Lepisosteus oculatus: one gene and its partner. The protein of the gene in region 2 interacts with the protein of the main gene of each other region in a pairwise test. Links are inferred from orthologs where the notes say so. Each region holds a gene or a part of one and is shown on either strand. Other genes may lie near its edges.

Region 1 (8,079 bases), on a different chromosome or scaffold from region 2:
GATGGTGAAATAAAGAGACCACTTAATTTTACCACTGGGAATTCTGTTCCACTTGGTTAGCTTAGACACGGTTCTCTGTCCCAGCCAATTTAATTCTAAGGGAAAGGGCTGTGTCAAAAATGCACACAAGTGCCCACAATTAAATAGTAATTTTTAATGTACAAGATTTTCTGAACGCTGTCGCTGTGAGGGAAATGCCTCTTATTTTTCTTCTTTTTAAATGTTGTACCATCTGTGGTCGTCATGATAAAATTTTTCTTTAACATTAGCTAGTTAAAGGATTGTACAAATCCAGCTTCAGACAAAAGCTGCCGTTTCATATTGCTATGCTTGAGAAATGATACCGTAGTCCACCCTACCTTAAAGAAGCCTTTGCACCCTTCACAAGTACGCACTCCATAGTGCTGGCAAGCGGCGTTGTCCCCGCACACTGCACACAGACCCTCGTTGGAAGGCGATCCCCTTGACGGAGGCGACGGGACCTGGCTGTCCATCAGCTGGGGCCCATGTCCGAGCTGAAGAGAGTGTGGGAAGCCTATGTTTGCCTGCTTCCTAATAGCACTGGGGACGGCAAAGCTCTGGCTGTCTACCACATGATGGGCACCCGGTGTCTCCGGGTTCATAGGTACGTGAAGAGGACCGTCAAACCTCATCTGGCAGCTTGACACCGGGGTACCAGGAGGTGACTGCTTAAACGAGAACAAGGAAAGCCTTGACACGGGATTCTTGCGTTGATCTATCATATGAGTGGTGGCCACGTAGTTTTGATGGAAACTGTGGAGCGAACCAGGCTCATCCCACATAGGGCTGGGCTGAACCTGGAAGTTGGGGGTAGTGGGAGTAGGGGGCGAGGAGGGCTTGTAGTACATTGAGCCAGAATGGGGCATCATCTCTTCAGCCTGTGGTGGCAGGTGGCTCTGTTGATGGTAGCTGTGCATCTGAATGTCTTCCACCTTGATGGCGGACTGCTGTCCAGAAAGAGGCATTTGGTATAAGCAGGGAGGCTTTACGTCGTAACTGGTGTTGTAGTTGTCCATGAATGTGCTGAAACTGGGAAGAGAAGTGGTGGCTGTGATCTCAGTGTTGGTCAGGTCCATGCTAAACTTAACAAACTCAGGAGTTAGGAAATCGGAGCTGTATTCTCCAGTGGTGTGGTAGCTGTAGCTCTGCGAAGCTGGACTGGCTCCTTGAGGTGATGACCCATACTGAGCCTGAACACAGGGCATGGCTGTAAATGAAAGTTTCACAAATGCTCACACTGTCAAAGCGATCACCCTCCAAGCACAGGCTTGATTTACTCTTAAACATCCAAAAATGTAGCATGCCATTGTCTAGATAAAATATTTAACAAATCCAATGTCTTCACTTACATTTCATTAACAAAATAAAGCCATGCACACATCTTTAAATTATATTTTTGGATGCAGAAAAAAGAGCAACTAGCCAACAACATAGTATTTCATTTAAAAAAATATCATATGAAAAGGGTAGCATGTCTGTATTAATCTCTGAATATATACAGTAGATGTGCAGGAGAAATCCGTGATGATGTATTCTGAAACATGCTGCATTTTATTATCAATAAAAGACACTACAACATGACGCTTCCACTGTTATTAAAATGCATTGTACGTGTTGCTTTTGACTAGGTTAAACATTTATAGTTTTCATTTACAGAAACAATATTAATACTCCATACCTTCAGTCGACGGACTGTGTTTTCCGGAGGAACTTGAATTGGACAGTGTCGTTTAGTCTTGTTTGAAGTTCAGGTTTCGAGAAAGTAGCGCGCCTCGGGACTCTTCCCTGTAATACAGAAGAAATGTAGTTTATAACCCCTGTTCATTTTTCCGTTACAATGGACAGTGCACATATGTATGCAAGTGCTTATTTAAAAGAGTTTCTTTGTAAACAAAACATGTAAACAAAACAATGTATCCAATACAAAAAAAGCTACATATAATAAAAATCTGAATGGTTTCGCGTAATGTAACAATCTTCACGCTTATAAATGGAAATAATATTTCTTCATTTTATTTAGGTCATTTTTGTTTCCTTATTCCATGTCAGATATTTCATGAAGCACAATGTTATATTGTTATTTGAAAGAAGCATCATTAACAGGGATAAACAGAAAGCATGGTTATATATACGCGTGAGTTTCAACAGGAGTCACACTTTAAATATGAAGCATGTACATAAAGTTTTCTGAATATTTGTATTTTGCTGCTTTTACAATTATGTATTATTCTATTCTCTCTAAACTTATTTTTTGCTGTTATTAGCAGTAGAGGTAGTAGTGCATTTGTAGTTGAGAACTGTCAAAAATAATAACCGCAATTGCTATTAAGCAGCTAATTATACCGGCTTATACTGTCATTCACGTGTCTGAAAGCTGTGAAATCGCCAATCCAACTCAGTAGGCGAACAGAAGAACAAGGTGGAGTCAGCAGGTGAGTTAGAGAATAGTTTTAGCCACATCAGTCAAATGCAAAGGAAAAAGAGTTTTAACGGTTTCGCAGTAGTAAGAGAGACAGCGATTGTACACTACATGTGAAGTTGCTTTATCTTTTCAATAACATGGTCAACACATTATCGACATTTAAAATGACTTCCGTAACAAAGCAGGCGAACTAAAGAACATTTTAAAGTACCTGACAACCGATAAAAGTAACAGTAACACTTTCAATTAATGGTCGTTTTTATTGCCATCTATTCTCAACATTTTATCATTGCTATTAATGTACGTTACTGTCATTAGCCATATCTTCCTACGAGTATCAATTGTATACGTAAGTAATTCTTTCGCCCAACATATCACAATTATGAAAAAAAAATTGCATACACAATACAACACGCACAAATCATGTTGAATAGTTAGCGGCTGTAGATGATGCTGTGAAATAGCTTATTCAATCCAAGCCCATATAGCAAAATAGAATAAAATATACCTTTTTAACTGCAGCGTCCCGTGCTATCCATGCAGAAGATCTGCTAGTAGTGGTCTAACGTAGTTATAAAAAAAGAGCCCCAAACAATAAGCGACAGAACAGTTGTGAGAACAAACAGAATAGGATTAAGTGCGGCTATCGCACAGAACAGTACAAGACACAAGCCGAGACTGGTCCTTCCCTCCAATGTGCCTTTGTTTATGTGAGCTCTGAATACCACAAAAAAATTCTACGTCATCGGCATCGTCAATGACTTAGGCCAATCAGTGTCTCGAGGGGGGGTTAGACTTCTCCGTGCTGTTGGCCAATTCCTTGACGTATTAAGCTGAGCAGCGTTTTAAGGTAGTAGGGTACCACGGTTCGCTTCACCCGTTCCCAAATCAGAAAACCCAGAAACGTAATGTTTGTAAACAGGTGTAAAATGGTATACAAGTCTGATATTCCAGTAATGGATTTTAACAATTGCGTTTTTGCTTACCATGATGTGTCTCCCTTCTGGAAGTAAGCGGCGTTGTGTGTGGCCTTCGGAATACGCTGTCGCCTCAGAAGCAGATGTGAGACACGACATTAATGAAGTTGTCAAGAGAACTCTGGCAGATATTACAATCTGGTCAAATATAAACCCGTTTATTTTATGCATTTGATTTTTTTTTTTGGGGGGGGAGGGGGGGTAGAGGTTATTGGCATGTTGAAGCGTCTTCAGAAAAGTGAGGCGTCCCGTCAAGTGTGGAACTAGATGTAAGTTTGCTTTAGGGAGTAAACCCCTTGACAGTACAGTAACATTGCCTGCAATCACGTAAATATGCGGAAAAAAAACAACAACAATTTGAAATACACTCTGATGTCCTTCGGCATAATGAAACTGTATTATAGATTCGGTGATAATACTGTGTGAATGTTATCCTAATTTTTGTTTTCCGTGCCAAATGCTGGTCCTGCAGGTCTTTATAGCACGCGTTCACAATATTTTATACCGTGTAGTACTCAGTCGTTGCACATACGGAATACTTACATTTATAAAAGTCATTATAATAATGATTGAGGTCCAATTCAGATGAATTGAAACTCTAGAAACACATGATTACAGATGTTTATTTTTCCCTCGTAAACTACCACCCTCTGTCCAACATGAATCACTGCACCCTTCAACTCACGGTCTGTGGATACAAGAGGCAGTCAGAAAGTTGCCATTTCTTGTGAAGTACACAATCTGCCACATTTCAAATAATGTATCTAATTTGTATTATATATGGGATTGTTCTCAGCCCTCCTCTATCTTGCTACACATCTAACTGATTTACATGCGTTTCCAAATTTAGACCTCTAAAAAGAGTGGGTGTGTACCTCAGTACGTGACTACCTTAATTTTCCCAGCTGCTTGTGTTGTGAGAGCAGACAGAGGGAGCTCATTAACAGCGGAGCAGCGTCAGTTGTCGTGGGCGAACCAATTTAGTCGAACGAAAGGGAAAAAGTGATAGGGGGTGGCAGAATGGTGCATGACGCAGGGAACGCCGCCTTTGACGCAACCAACAGTCTCTGCCAAAAATAGCAGTCACAGCCTTTTCTTGTTTTTGGTGCTCTATTATTATTACAGTAGGACTCTATTATTGATCTTATAATGGGCCGTGCTTCCACCGACTATTTTAGCTGCGATCGGAAACTGGAGAATACATAATTAAAGAAAGAAGTGGTCTATTTTTATCCCAGAACAACACCACGTTGTTGTTTTTTCTAAATTGAAAGCACGGGTGAACTTTGGTGCTTAGCGCAGGAGCCATATTTCTGCATAAATCCCATGCAGCAACTTGTTGCGCTGTACTTGGGGAAATGAAGGGATTGCTTTTCAGTCATCAAGCTAGCTTTCGCCGTTTGTCTGTAAAACACGTGTCAACCTTAAAATGCTAGTCTTTTTCTCTAGATATCGACTGGGTTGTGTTTATAGAGCACAGTCTGGTGCGCACCGTTTCATAATTTGATAACATTAACTCGGAAAATGAAACTTTCTTGCGTGCTACGTCAGTGATTCAAAACCCATCCACTCACTTGCATCCGAGTTTAATACAATAAACGATCCTGCAGTCTAACCTTGCACTGTATTCACATTGAGGGAGCCACAGGGGGTGAAAAGCGCATTCAATCACATAATTCAAAGATTAACGTCGATTCGCTTTTGTCAGTGTTCAAGCTTTTCGTGCCAGCCTTTCGATTGTTAGAAAAAAAACGCAACATCCGTGTTCATTTCAAAGTTTCTTTATTGGAAATCCAGCAATAAAGAGCAGTATTTCTAATACTGGTATAAATCCTACGTTTTTTGAATTGCAATGATGTCCACAAGGTAGCATGCTACCAGCCCTCGTCAGTTCATGAACACATGAACTACTTACAGGAATATCACTAATGTGGTAACATGCCCGTTTCAGACAGCTGTGGGGTACTGATCAAAATAAATAAAATTCACTGCCCACAGTATTTGTGTCCATTACGGCGCATGAGACTAGGACTGTTCCTGGACGTTTGCTCTCTCCAGCAGAGGACGGTGTTCTTCATTGCCCATCAGCACGTTTACAAACATCACCACTTCACTGCCCAGGCGCCCCTGTATATGAGAGAAAGTAGATTAGCACAGTATACGGTATATAACATAATACAACACATTTTTAGTATAGTACATAGTACATAGACATGCTTTATTGCTAGTTTCACAAAATGTTTTTTAGTTACGAGACTAAGTGGCGGTTCTTCAAATATCACTTTAAGATAGGATCATTAGGAATCATTTAAAATGCTGCGTTTTTTCAGCACTTTCTCGTTTTAAAGATAAATGTGCTGCCATTATTCTTTAGCGATAAATGATTATTTGAACTTCACAGAGCGTGTGCATGGTAAGATCGGATACTGTACTATATTTACGGTACTGTAAGTGAATACTATAACACGTGCATCCTTATACAACTGTAGTATTACACCACTCTTTAGATTACATCTACACTGATTTTTTTAAATAAATGCATTTCTTTACGAAAGTTGAAAGATGATTTTTTTGCTAGCAAATTGTGATAACTAAATAGACATGTCTTACAACTATATTGTTTTTTTTCTAGCTAGGAAATCTAGAAAATGAATTCACATCAGGCTGTAAGAGGTGGAATCCACATTGAAACCTTCAGCCATTATAGGCAATGGTATTGGTTAATTGCTAAAATAATGTGGCACAAAATCAGCCATCAGTGATATTCTGTAGTTGTTAATGATACTAGTGTGAAATATATTATGATAGATGTTCATTGTTTTTCGATACACTATTTCTTTCACTTCTTTCTTTTTTCAAATGTTATTGGAGATGTTACAAATACAATCAAAACATAATCTATATAAATGATCAAAAATGGCAAATGAAGCAGTTACCAATTTAAAACATGTCACTGTTGGATGATGCCTGACTGAAATGGCAGCCCAGCATCTGAACTTCCACATGAAGGAGTAGCACAAGGCTCGTGCACAATACCTAGACCAGGCTTAACAAGAATCTAATGAGCAAACACTGCCAGCAGGACAGAGCTTAATCCTTTGGTTGATATCAACAGGCACCTACTGAATATTGGACAATTTAGGAATGGCACTGGGAATCGCCACTTGTCATTTTTTTCTCTACAAAGGCGATTTTTGTACTTTGCTTGGTTTGGCTGGAAAAGTGAAGCCTCACAAGCAAAATTCCAGATCTGTATTGTGCCCAAGTGCATCATTCAATATGACACTCTTGTAAACCTGGCAAACGGCTTTAATGAACTTTTAGTCCGCTATCACTTTTCACCCACAGAAATCCGCCACAACCAAGACTATAAGAAGTAATCTGGTGCTGCACAGCTCTGTTACATTTCCACGAGAAATAGCAGAATTCAGCTTTTCAGTTGTTACCATAGCATCAAAGAATTAAGGCACTGGTGCTGTCCCGAAACCAGGAAGCATGTTCTTATAATGAATTTTGATAATGGTCTGCTAGCACACTGAAGGTTAGTACTGAATGCAGGATAGGGCGGTTTAAAACAAGACTGGTGGGGAAATTTGGTTTATTTTGTGTCTGTCAATCCTAAAGAAACACAAAGTTCTGATTTCTTCACTTGGCTGATTTTCTTTTTTTTTTAGTGTCCATATGTTAAAAATCTAAGAATTGAACACTTTGCATTATTAATTAATTTTTAAATAGCGTGAGAGAGAAAAGGGAATGCTACAAGCTACAATACGAGCTGCTGAATTTCAATGATTATGGCATTTCTTGTTTTTCACTAGAGATGCTATAAACTTCACTGCAACCCTGTACTTGGTAAAGTAACTAACAAAAATGGACTGATGTTTTCTGGACCTTCCAAGATTATCGCACAAAAAATAGAACTGCCTACTTGTATGCAGTTAAGGTGCATAAATATACAACCTGAGTGATGCAAAAGAAATATGTGAAAAACAAATACAACTTCAAAAAGTGTCCAATTGTAAGGACAGAACTGAGGCAGAATGGAGGTAATCTTATTCCTTTCCCCTTGGTCACTTGCCTTGGTCAAGGAATGAATTTGTAAATTCTTCTTTAAACTGTGGCGGTGTGCTGCATTCAGTGAACAGGGAGCGAATACTGCCTTGACCTGCTGTCAACCTCAAACTTCAAAGGTTTCACTCTTTTTCAAGTTATTGTTTAACCCATTACATATTTTGAACAAGTTCCCAACAGCTTTATATTGTATTTACTCTGAAAACTAGGAACACACCGAGGTATTTGAGAACAAAAAAAAAACATCTGTTCAACTGTTTGGCCCAATGTTCTTGGTGGTTTAAGAATAGTTTATTGATTCACTTATTTTCAGTTAATATTTTCTTATTATTTCCACCACAACATTCTTGATCATCTGTGATAATCAAGGTGATAAACTAATATTCAAAATATTGTTAAAATGATAACAATCAGTGTTAATGTTTTTGTTGATGCAAACGCATGACATCCATAACACACACAGCATCTCTTCATCGCTCTTCCTGCTCTTAATGCCGAGTTGCGATTGTTCGGATGAGTTTCCTCTGGTGCATTTTTGTCTGTGAACTCTAGGGCAAAAGGTTTGAGACTAGCTAGACATCTGCTACA
Region 2 (7,486 bases):
GGCAAACCTGAATAAACAGTATTTATTACAATAAGAAAACACTACACAACACACATCACAACATTCAAATTACTCTATCTTTCAAGCAAGGTGTCTCAGAAGCCCATGTCCTGACCAATCAGAAAAACACAGACTGTTACCAAGTCCTAAACAGACTGTTAAACCCCCACACAGGCCAAAAGGAGAGAGAAACCTTTCTTCTAAGCCAAACAAAATATCACCTAGCAGCTATTCTCTCTCTTTATATGTAAAACTGAGTGCTACAAAGCAAATGGAAACCAACCTCCCTATTCTAAAACATGCATTCATAACCAGGAGAGGTCATTTTTAACCAGGGGATTCTTAATGCAGGAAATCGGATTTTCGCAAAAACAACAGAACAGCAGGTTTCCTTAAGAGAATTCAAATACTGAACGAGAAGCTGGGCTTTGAGTTTGATGTGAACAAACACCTCTCGCCTCCGGTGTCTCCCCCTCCTCTCCCGTTTCTTGCTTTCTGTCCTCTCCTCTCTTTCCATCCTGCTTTCCTGGCCTCTTAATGATTTACCCAGAAATTAATTACCTAAAGTAAACCTTGCGATTTATTTGATCAACATGTCTCACAGACAACCTACAGCTCTGCAAACAACCATTTTTTTTACACTTTTCTCCCACTTGGTTCCACGCTCAGGGAACTGCAGGTGTCGACACTAGCTACAGAAGGAGTTGGTCAACATTTAATCTAACTATAACAGTACATTATACTACACCTGTATAAGAGTTAACTGTACCCTTGCTCTAAAATCATCACATACCGAACTTCAGTGGAAACGTATATCAAATGGCTTATTATAATAATATTAAATCTTCATCTATACAACTTAATCCAAAGCATGACTAAAACTTTTAATTGGGTGATTAAATCTTCTAATGACCTGTGTAATCTGGGTTGGGATTAAAGGAGAGCCCTGTGGATATTGGCTCACAATACCAGTAACAATCTGTTCTTCAAATGCCATCAGTTAGTCTACAGATCATCTTATTTATAATATACTAGGAGGGTTTTCATCCTCAACTAGCTAGCTCTACCTTCCGAATTTTACTTTTATTATCACATGATTGACAGAACAAGTTTACTTAGTGAGCCTTAGAAGGAAGAGAAAAACTGACAAGCTTGTTTTTCTTTTTCTTAGACTAGATGTGCGTTAGCAAAAACATCAACCCCTTAAGGTGAAATACTGGTTCACACGATAGCAGAATTCATACACTGCAGATCGCATCGGTTTTATCACCTCATCACTTCAAACAGTAATTCCAGTACTCTTTTGTTTTCTAAAACACAATTAAGTGCAATAACCAACGCTAGGTTCCAAGTGCGCTACGCTTTCTACACAGTGCAACAAGCATCCACGCAATAAAAACACACTGAGCAGGAGTGTGAAGGTAGCCAGCAACATTACTGGAGGACGACAGCTACAGCTGTCAGAAATCTACTGTACCCAAACACACAGTGCAGAAATAATCACTGACTGTCATGACTGCCCCTTGCACAGTGAGTCTAAACTCCTTCCATCTGGGCATCAATTTAGACTCCCCAGATTCCACTGCAATAGAACTAAATTAGCTTTTATTTCCTCAGCTGTTAACATGCTTAATTTGGACAACTGTATATTTTACTTTATTGTTATTTTTTCTGTCTCATTTATGTGTGCCTGTCTTATTTGTTAATGGGATTATGTTGCGTTCAATGCATTGTGTAGTGTCTTATGTTTTTCGCCTGCGTGCAAAGCATATATCCCATCGGGGACAATCACAGGAAGTCAAACAGCTGCACACAACAGATCAAGGTGCTTCCATCCACCGCCACGCGCACTGTCACAGCAGATCCCTTGGAATGGCCGTTTTCTTTGATCTGTTTCTGGGGTTCCCCCCCTTTCCTAAGGGGCACATTTTCTTTGAGGACCCCTGACTGACCCCCCATCCCCCATCCCTTGCACAAGATTTCTCATGAGATGTAACTGAACCATCACGGTCAAACACCCTCCTCACCTGCAGGGCGGTTCTCCCAAATTCGTTGGGGGTGTCGGGGTGTACCCCTTTCTGCAACATCCTCCGAACCCCGAGAAGGTCTCCCCTCGCCGCCGCGGCCGAGAGCATCTTCCCAGCGTCTGGGTCACCCAGGACCATAGTGGATGATGCCGTTTCCTTTACCTAAAAAACTTGGTCCTTTCCGGGAGACCGCTTAAATATGGGCGTTTCTAGAATTGAATTACTACGTTTTAAATGTCCCCTCGGCTGTTAACCCCCTTTTAACCTGGCTCACGCAAGTTATTCTGTATCTCGTCTTCTCACTAAGCGCACTTTGATTTGAAATATATGGCTGTTCTTCCGGCTCGGATCAGCCTACACAGTTTTAATCAAATCACGGTCTATAAATATATACCGTGCCGCCCTACATACATTAGCATCACGCATACGTGACCTGTACACTTGCGCCACGGCTACTCCAGAACCTGAGGAATATGAACCACCCTGACAGATCGTATCCTCCCCTTCGCCGAGTTTCAGTTTTCCTTCTTTTCATCAGCAGCAGAGGTTTTACAATCAGTCTCAAGAACAGCAACAACAACAACAACAAAGAGCTGCATTTTGTTCCAGTACCGCGTCCGCTTTCGCCCAGTTGCTCCTTTTGTGCGGCGGGACCCGAGTGGTTAAATTTAGACAAACCGGCTTTGGATTTTCAGAACGTGTTCCGCCAATCATCGCCGACTGTCGGGAAAATGTGGTTCCAAATAAGGCAAAAAAGGCGGAGACGGGGTTTGACGGTCATCGTATCACCTCGTAACGATTGAACAATGAACCAATAGGAAACGAATATGAGAAGGCGGGCTATTCAATTAAACGGAGTAGTTAAGCAAATTCATTCATACGGCAGAAGAACTAAACCGCTAAGAACTTGAATTACAAGCTCCTACGAAGCAAAGAAAAAAAGGCGGTTCATAACGCCCTGTGCATTTGCTGACATTTCACACCCTAAATTATATCTCAGACTACATGAGCCTTTAAATACTTAAATTATAATCGTTATATTCTCGACTGTCTGCCTATGCATAAAACATGATCTGTTTATTATTAACGTTTACATTCGGGAATAGCGTTAGTTCTACAAGTAGTGCAGTAGGGGATTTCTTAATGTTTTAGTCTGAAAGAATGCCACATACATGTACGTTATTTTTTCCATTGGTTATTACGGTATTTTAATTTTAGTTAAAATTACACAAAAAAAACTAAGCTTTACACAAACAAAGTCTGGAAAGAAATGATCTGGTAATCATGCAGGCTTCTGTGTAATTTTAACAACGCTCAAGACTCACACAGTATTATTTACAATCACTCGATTAGAATCAAAGCAAAATTACAACCAACACCATCAAAGCAACAGTATGTGACTTCCTACAAAATGGCATCTAACAAGGCAGTTTATAGGTAACTGCACCTTTAATGTGTCTTGTGTAATTAATCTTAAAAAATCCTCTATAGGTTTAATTTTGAAAACAATCAGGTTAATTAATTAGCTCCTAGGGTTGAAACAAAAAAAAACTGACGACACAGAGCCCCTCGAGGGACTGAGTTTGTGACTCCTGATCTAGAGTTTAGCAGATTCCAACCCCTTGCCTTCCTAAATTAATCAATGGAATCAAACTAAAGCCTAATTGGACGCTTAAGCCAAAACAGGGAGCATTTCCTTTCTTCCTCACATTTCTTGAAAGTAAAAATATACTGTATATGTTACAATAGCACTACAGGCAGGCTGAAGTGGATACTGTTCAGTTCTTACAACCCATTTGCAAAGCTTATAGTGTATTTAAAAACAGATACCTCTATGAAACTGAGAGCTTGGGTACAACAAAAACCAGGATATACTAAGCCCTCAAGGAGTGGAGTCTCACACCCTTGCTCTTGGATACTCTAATACAGGTCTCCTCACTCCAGATCCTTATGACCACAGTTTGCCAGATTTTGGTTCTAGCTCAATTATTTGTGCCCCAGCATTTGACGTATTTAAAGAATTGCAAAACTTTCTTGAGTAATTTGCAAGCTGCAACCTTTAAGGAGCGGCAAAGATTAAATTGAATTGTGGTCTAATTAAATTACAAGTTCAGTTTAGCCTGTTAAGAGTCCAGCTGGAATGAAAACCACCAGACAAGGACAAGGACCAGCAGTGGAAATCCCTGCCTTAATGATTTGGGAATCGTTAACATGGTTCAATTAAGACAATAATTAGTGGAAATGGGCAGTTATGAGCACAGCAGCCTTCCAGAACCCTGACCTAAAATGATCACAAAAATATCTATCTGGACAGCAGGGCTGCTCAGCTTGCAATCATGCCTCTCCAGTCCAGTGTTTAACTGGGCTCCATCCAGTTCCCACATCACTTATCTGATAACCAGGAGGGTCACAGGACTCGTAAGGGCTTGGCTGTACCGAAGCACTGCATGCAGACAAGCTGACCAGGAGGGCAGCCGTGCTGAGGCAGCCCTGGGTGGATGGCTAAGGGGAGACAGTAGGGGAGGAAGGCCGGGTCTACACAATCAAATCATTCAAAATCTATGCATTTAAAAAAAAAAGTTGAGAAATTTGCTCTTTATAAATACAAAGGCACCGTTTTGGTCGCTTGTTCAATGAAACCGCAGGTCCTTGACTCTTTTGCCCAGGGAATATTTCTAGGAGTTGGTCCTCAGCTGGTAATCTGAAATAAATGGGAGATTTCAAATAACATGGTTTGCTTTTCAAACTCCATTTTCATCCTCTCTGCTCTTCATTTCTTAAAATGCAACTCTGCAACTCACAACTGGCAACCCACAGAAGCTCAGCAGGTGTGAGCCTGGTCAGTACCTGGATGGGAGATCTCCTGGGAAAAACTAAGGCTGCTAATGCATGCGTCCTAATGCCCCAGTATAGTGACGGGGACACTATACTGTAAATAGGTGCCGTCTTTCGGATGAGACATAAAACCGAGGTCCTGACTCTCTGTGGTCATTTAAAAAATGCAAGGGCGTTTCTCGAAAAGAGTAGGGGTGTAACCCTGGCATCCTGGCCAAATTTCCCACTGGCCTTTACCAATCATGGCCTCCTAATAATCCCCATTTATGGACTGGCTTCATCACTCTGCTCTCCTCCCCACTGATAGCTGATGTGTGGTGAGCGTTCTGGCGCACTATGGCTGCCGTCAAATCATCCAGGTGGATGCTGCACATTGGTGGTAGTGGAGGGGATCCCCATTACCTGTAAAGGGCTTTGAGTGGAGTGTCCAGAAAAGCGCTATATATGCAATTATTATGATTATTATTATTATTAAAAGCCTGTTGAGGACAATTTTTTTCTTTCCTCAAAATGCATTAGATAAAGAAAAGGGCTGACTTTCACATCAGGCAGGAAGTGAGAGATATCCTGTTCACACACCCACTGACTCATTTGGTGAAAAACCAGCAGCACAGAGACCAACAATGGGAGACAGACAGACGCATTGATCACAAGAAACAAACTCCTCAGTTCACACACCAACCATCTCTTTCCATGCAAGAGAGTGAAAGGAACTGTGGTAAACAATGGCACCAGCTGTTAAATGGTTTTGTCAAGCCACAAGAAATGTAAAATAAATGAGTGAATTAAGAGGTGTGAAAATAAAATGATGCCAAGGATATGTGAAGGTGGGTGGCACGGTGGGGAAGTGGTGAGCATTGTTGCCTCGCAGCACTGGGGCCCTGGGTTCAGCTCCTCGAGCGCTGTGTGTGTGGAGTTTGTATCTTCTCCCCATGTTCACATGGGTTTTTTCCCACAATGCTGGTAGGTTAATTGGCTTTTGGGAAAATGGACCCTGGTGTGAGTGTGCATGTGTGTCTGTGTCTTTCTGTGCCCTGCAATGGACTGGCGCCCTAGTCAGGCTGTACCCTGCCGTGTGCCAGTTGCATGCTGGGATAGGCCCCACCTCCCTCATGACCATGAATTGGAAGAAATGGTTAGAAAATGGATGGATGAGTGAATGATGAAAGGGATCGTGTAAGAAAGCACATCGTACCTCCGCTTTGCGTGATGTATCGGACCCAGGGCAAGGCTTGGTAGCCACTCTTCTCAATAATCTTCATGTACCGCACCTGACAGAAACGCATGCCGTTAGTCACATTCCTGCCCAGCAAAGACAGGGATCAAAACCCCCACCGGTGGTACTTAACAAAACATCACCCAGTCAGACAGCAACTGCAGATTAATGAGAGAGATTTGGGACCTGTTCATAACAGCTTTTCAGAACTAACAGGGTCTCTACGATAAGTCTTCTACAAAACTCATGAGCTGAAAGTCCCTCATGTGATTTTCTTGGGAAAAAACACAGGTATAAACTTGACACAAGTACAACAAACTGTCAGCTTTCCAAAGCTAGTCAAGGGGGCAAGGCATTCTGAGAATGTATCTTATTACCAACAAACTGCATTACTATTTGGTCTCTTCAAAAAAGTTCTGCTTTTCCAGGTTTGTGTGGGGATAATGGTGGGTCCTTAGAGATTTGGGCAAGAGCCCCAAGAAGTTAATTCACGGCAGGTCTTTGTTTCTTTATTGAACTAGCATTGATTAGAATTTAAATTAAACCACAAGGTGCAAGATTTTTATGAAGATTGTAAGGTCACCATCTATACATTGTAGATGTTGATGGTAAAATTTGTTCCATGAATGCTCTGGTTTCTTCCCACAGTCCAAAGACCTACTGGTAGGTTAACTGGCTTCTGGAACAATTGGCCCTGGTGTGAGTGTGTGTGTCTGTCCACCGGTGACGGACTGCTGTTCCATCCAGGGTGTACCCTGAGCTGTTAGCAAATGGATGGATGGGCGTTTCATCAATGTGGTCTCTCGGTCTTGATCTGGGGGGGAGTGGGTATATAAATGTACCTGGATTCCAGACACAGTGAAGTATGGGATCTCGAAGTTGACCGTGATGGGCGGCTTTCCCTCCGCCTCATCGTTCTCCACGCTGGGCAGGCCAAAGTGCGCGCGCATCAGGAACTCCTTCCCTCCCTGGGTGAGGAGTGAGACACAGGAGCAGACAGTCAGGCAAGCTGGACTGCCAGTGGACTGAAGAGAGCTCTAGCTGACAGCGTTAGAGGCTTTTTCATCTCTAGTCCTTAGGGAAACCCTGGTTTAATAATAATAATAATGATATTAATAATAATAATTCTCATTATAATTAATCTCAATGTACTTCATGTAAGAGTCTTAATAAAAGTGGGGTCTTATGCTGCCAAGTTCCGATGACCTAACAAGGGTCATTTTCTGTGCCTTTCAGTAGTTTCCCTTCAGCTGCCACCGTAGGACTTAAGACTTAATGGAAGTGTTGAATTTTTTAACGTGCATTTCTCTTTTTTGCTCCGTTATGTCCATTTTGTCGGTGATCTTCCTCGTCTCCAATCCAGCCTCGTGCTGCTTGCGCCACCAGCTTTCCAGGGGCACTCTTGAAC

Evidence for each region. The genes of interacting proteins can lie anywhere in the genome.
Region 1: the proteins of cdkn2d (region 2) and nuclear receptor subfamily 4 group A member 2 interact in binary tests that used the Homo sapiens proteins (3 or more experiments, as listed by UniProt). The two-hybrid records come from large-scale screens. The link is inferred for Lepisosteus oculatus from reciprocal best matches to the Homo sapiens genes CDKN2D and NR4A2.

What each region holds. Positions count from the first base shown.
Region 1 is NC_090707.1:12,359,764-12,367,842, forward strand, and holds the start of nuclear receptor subfamily 4 group A member 2, read right to left. Parts: upstream 3,121-8,079; 5' UTR 2,952-3,120; intron 1,807-2,951; 5' UTR 1,700-1,806; intron 1,229-1,699; 5' UTR 1,227-1,228; coding exon 360-1,226; intron 1-359. UniProt on the Homo sapiens protein: Transcriptional regulator which is important for the differentiation and maintenance of meso-diencephalic dopaminergic (mdDA) neurons during development.
Region 2 is NC_090706.1:16,474,074-16,481,559, forward strand, and holds the start of cdkn2d (cyclin-dependent kinase 4 inhibitor D), read right to left. Parts: upstream 3,120-7,486; 5' UTR 2,166-3,119; coding exon 2,028-2,165; intron 1-2,027. UniProt on the Homo sapiens protein: Interacts strongly with CDK4 and CDK6 and inhibits them.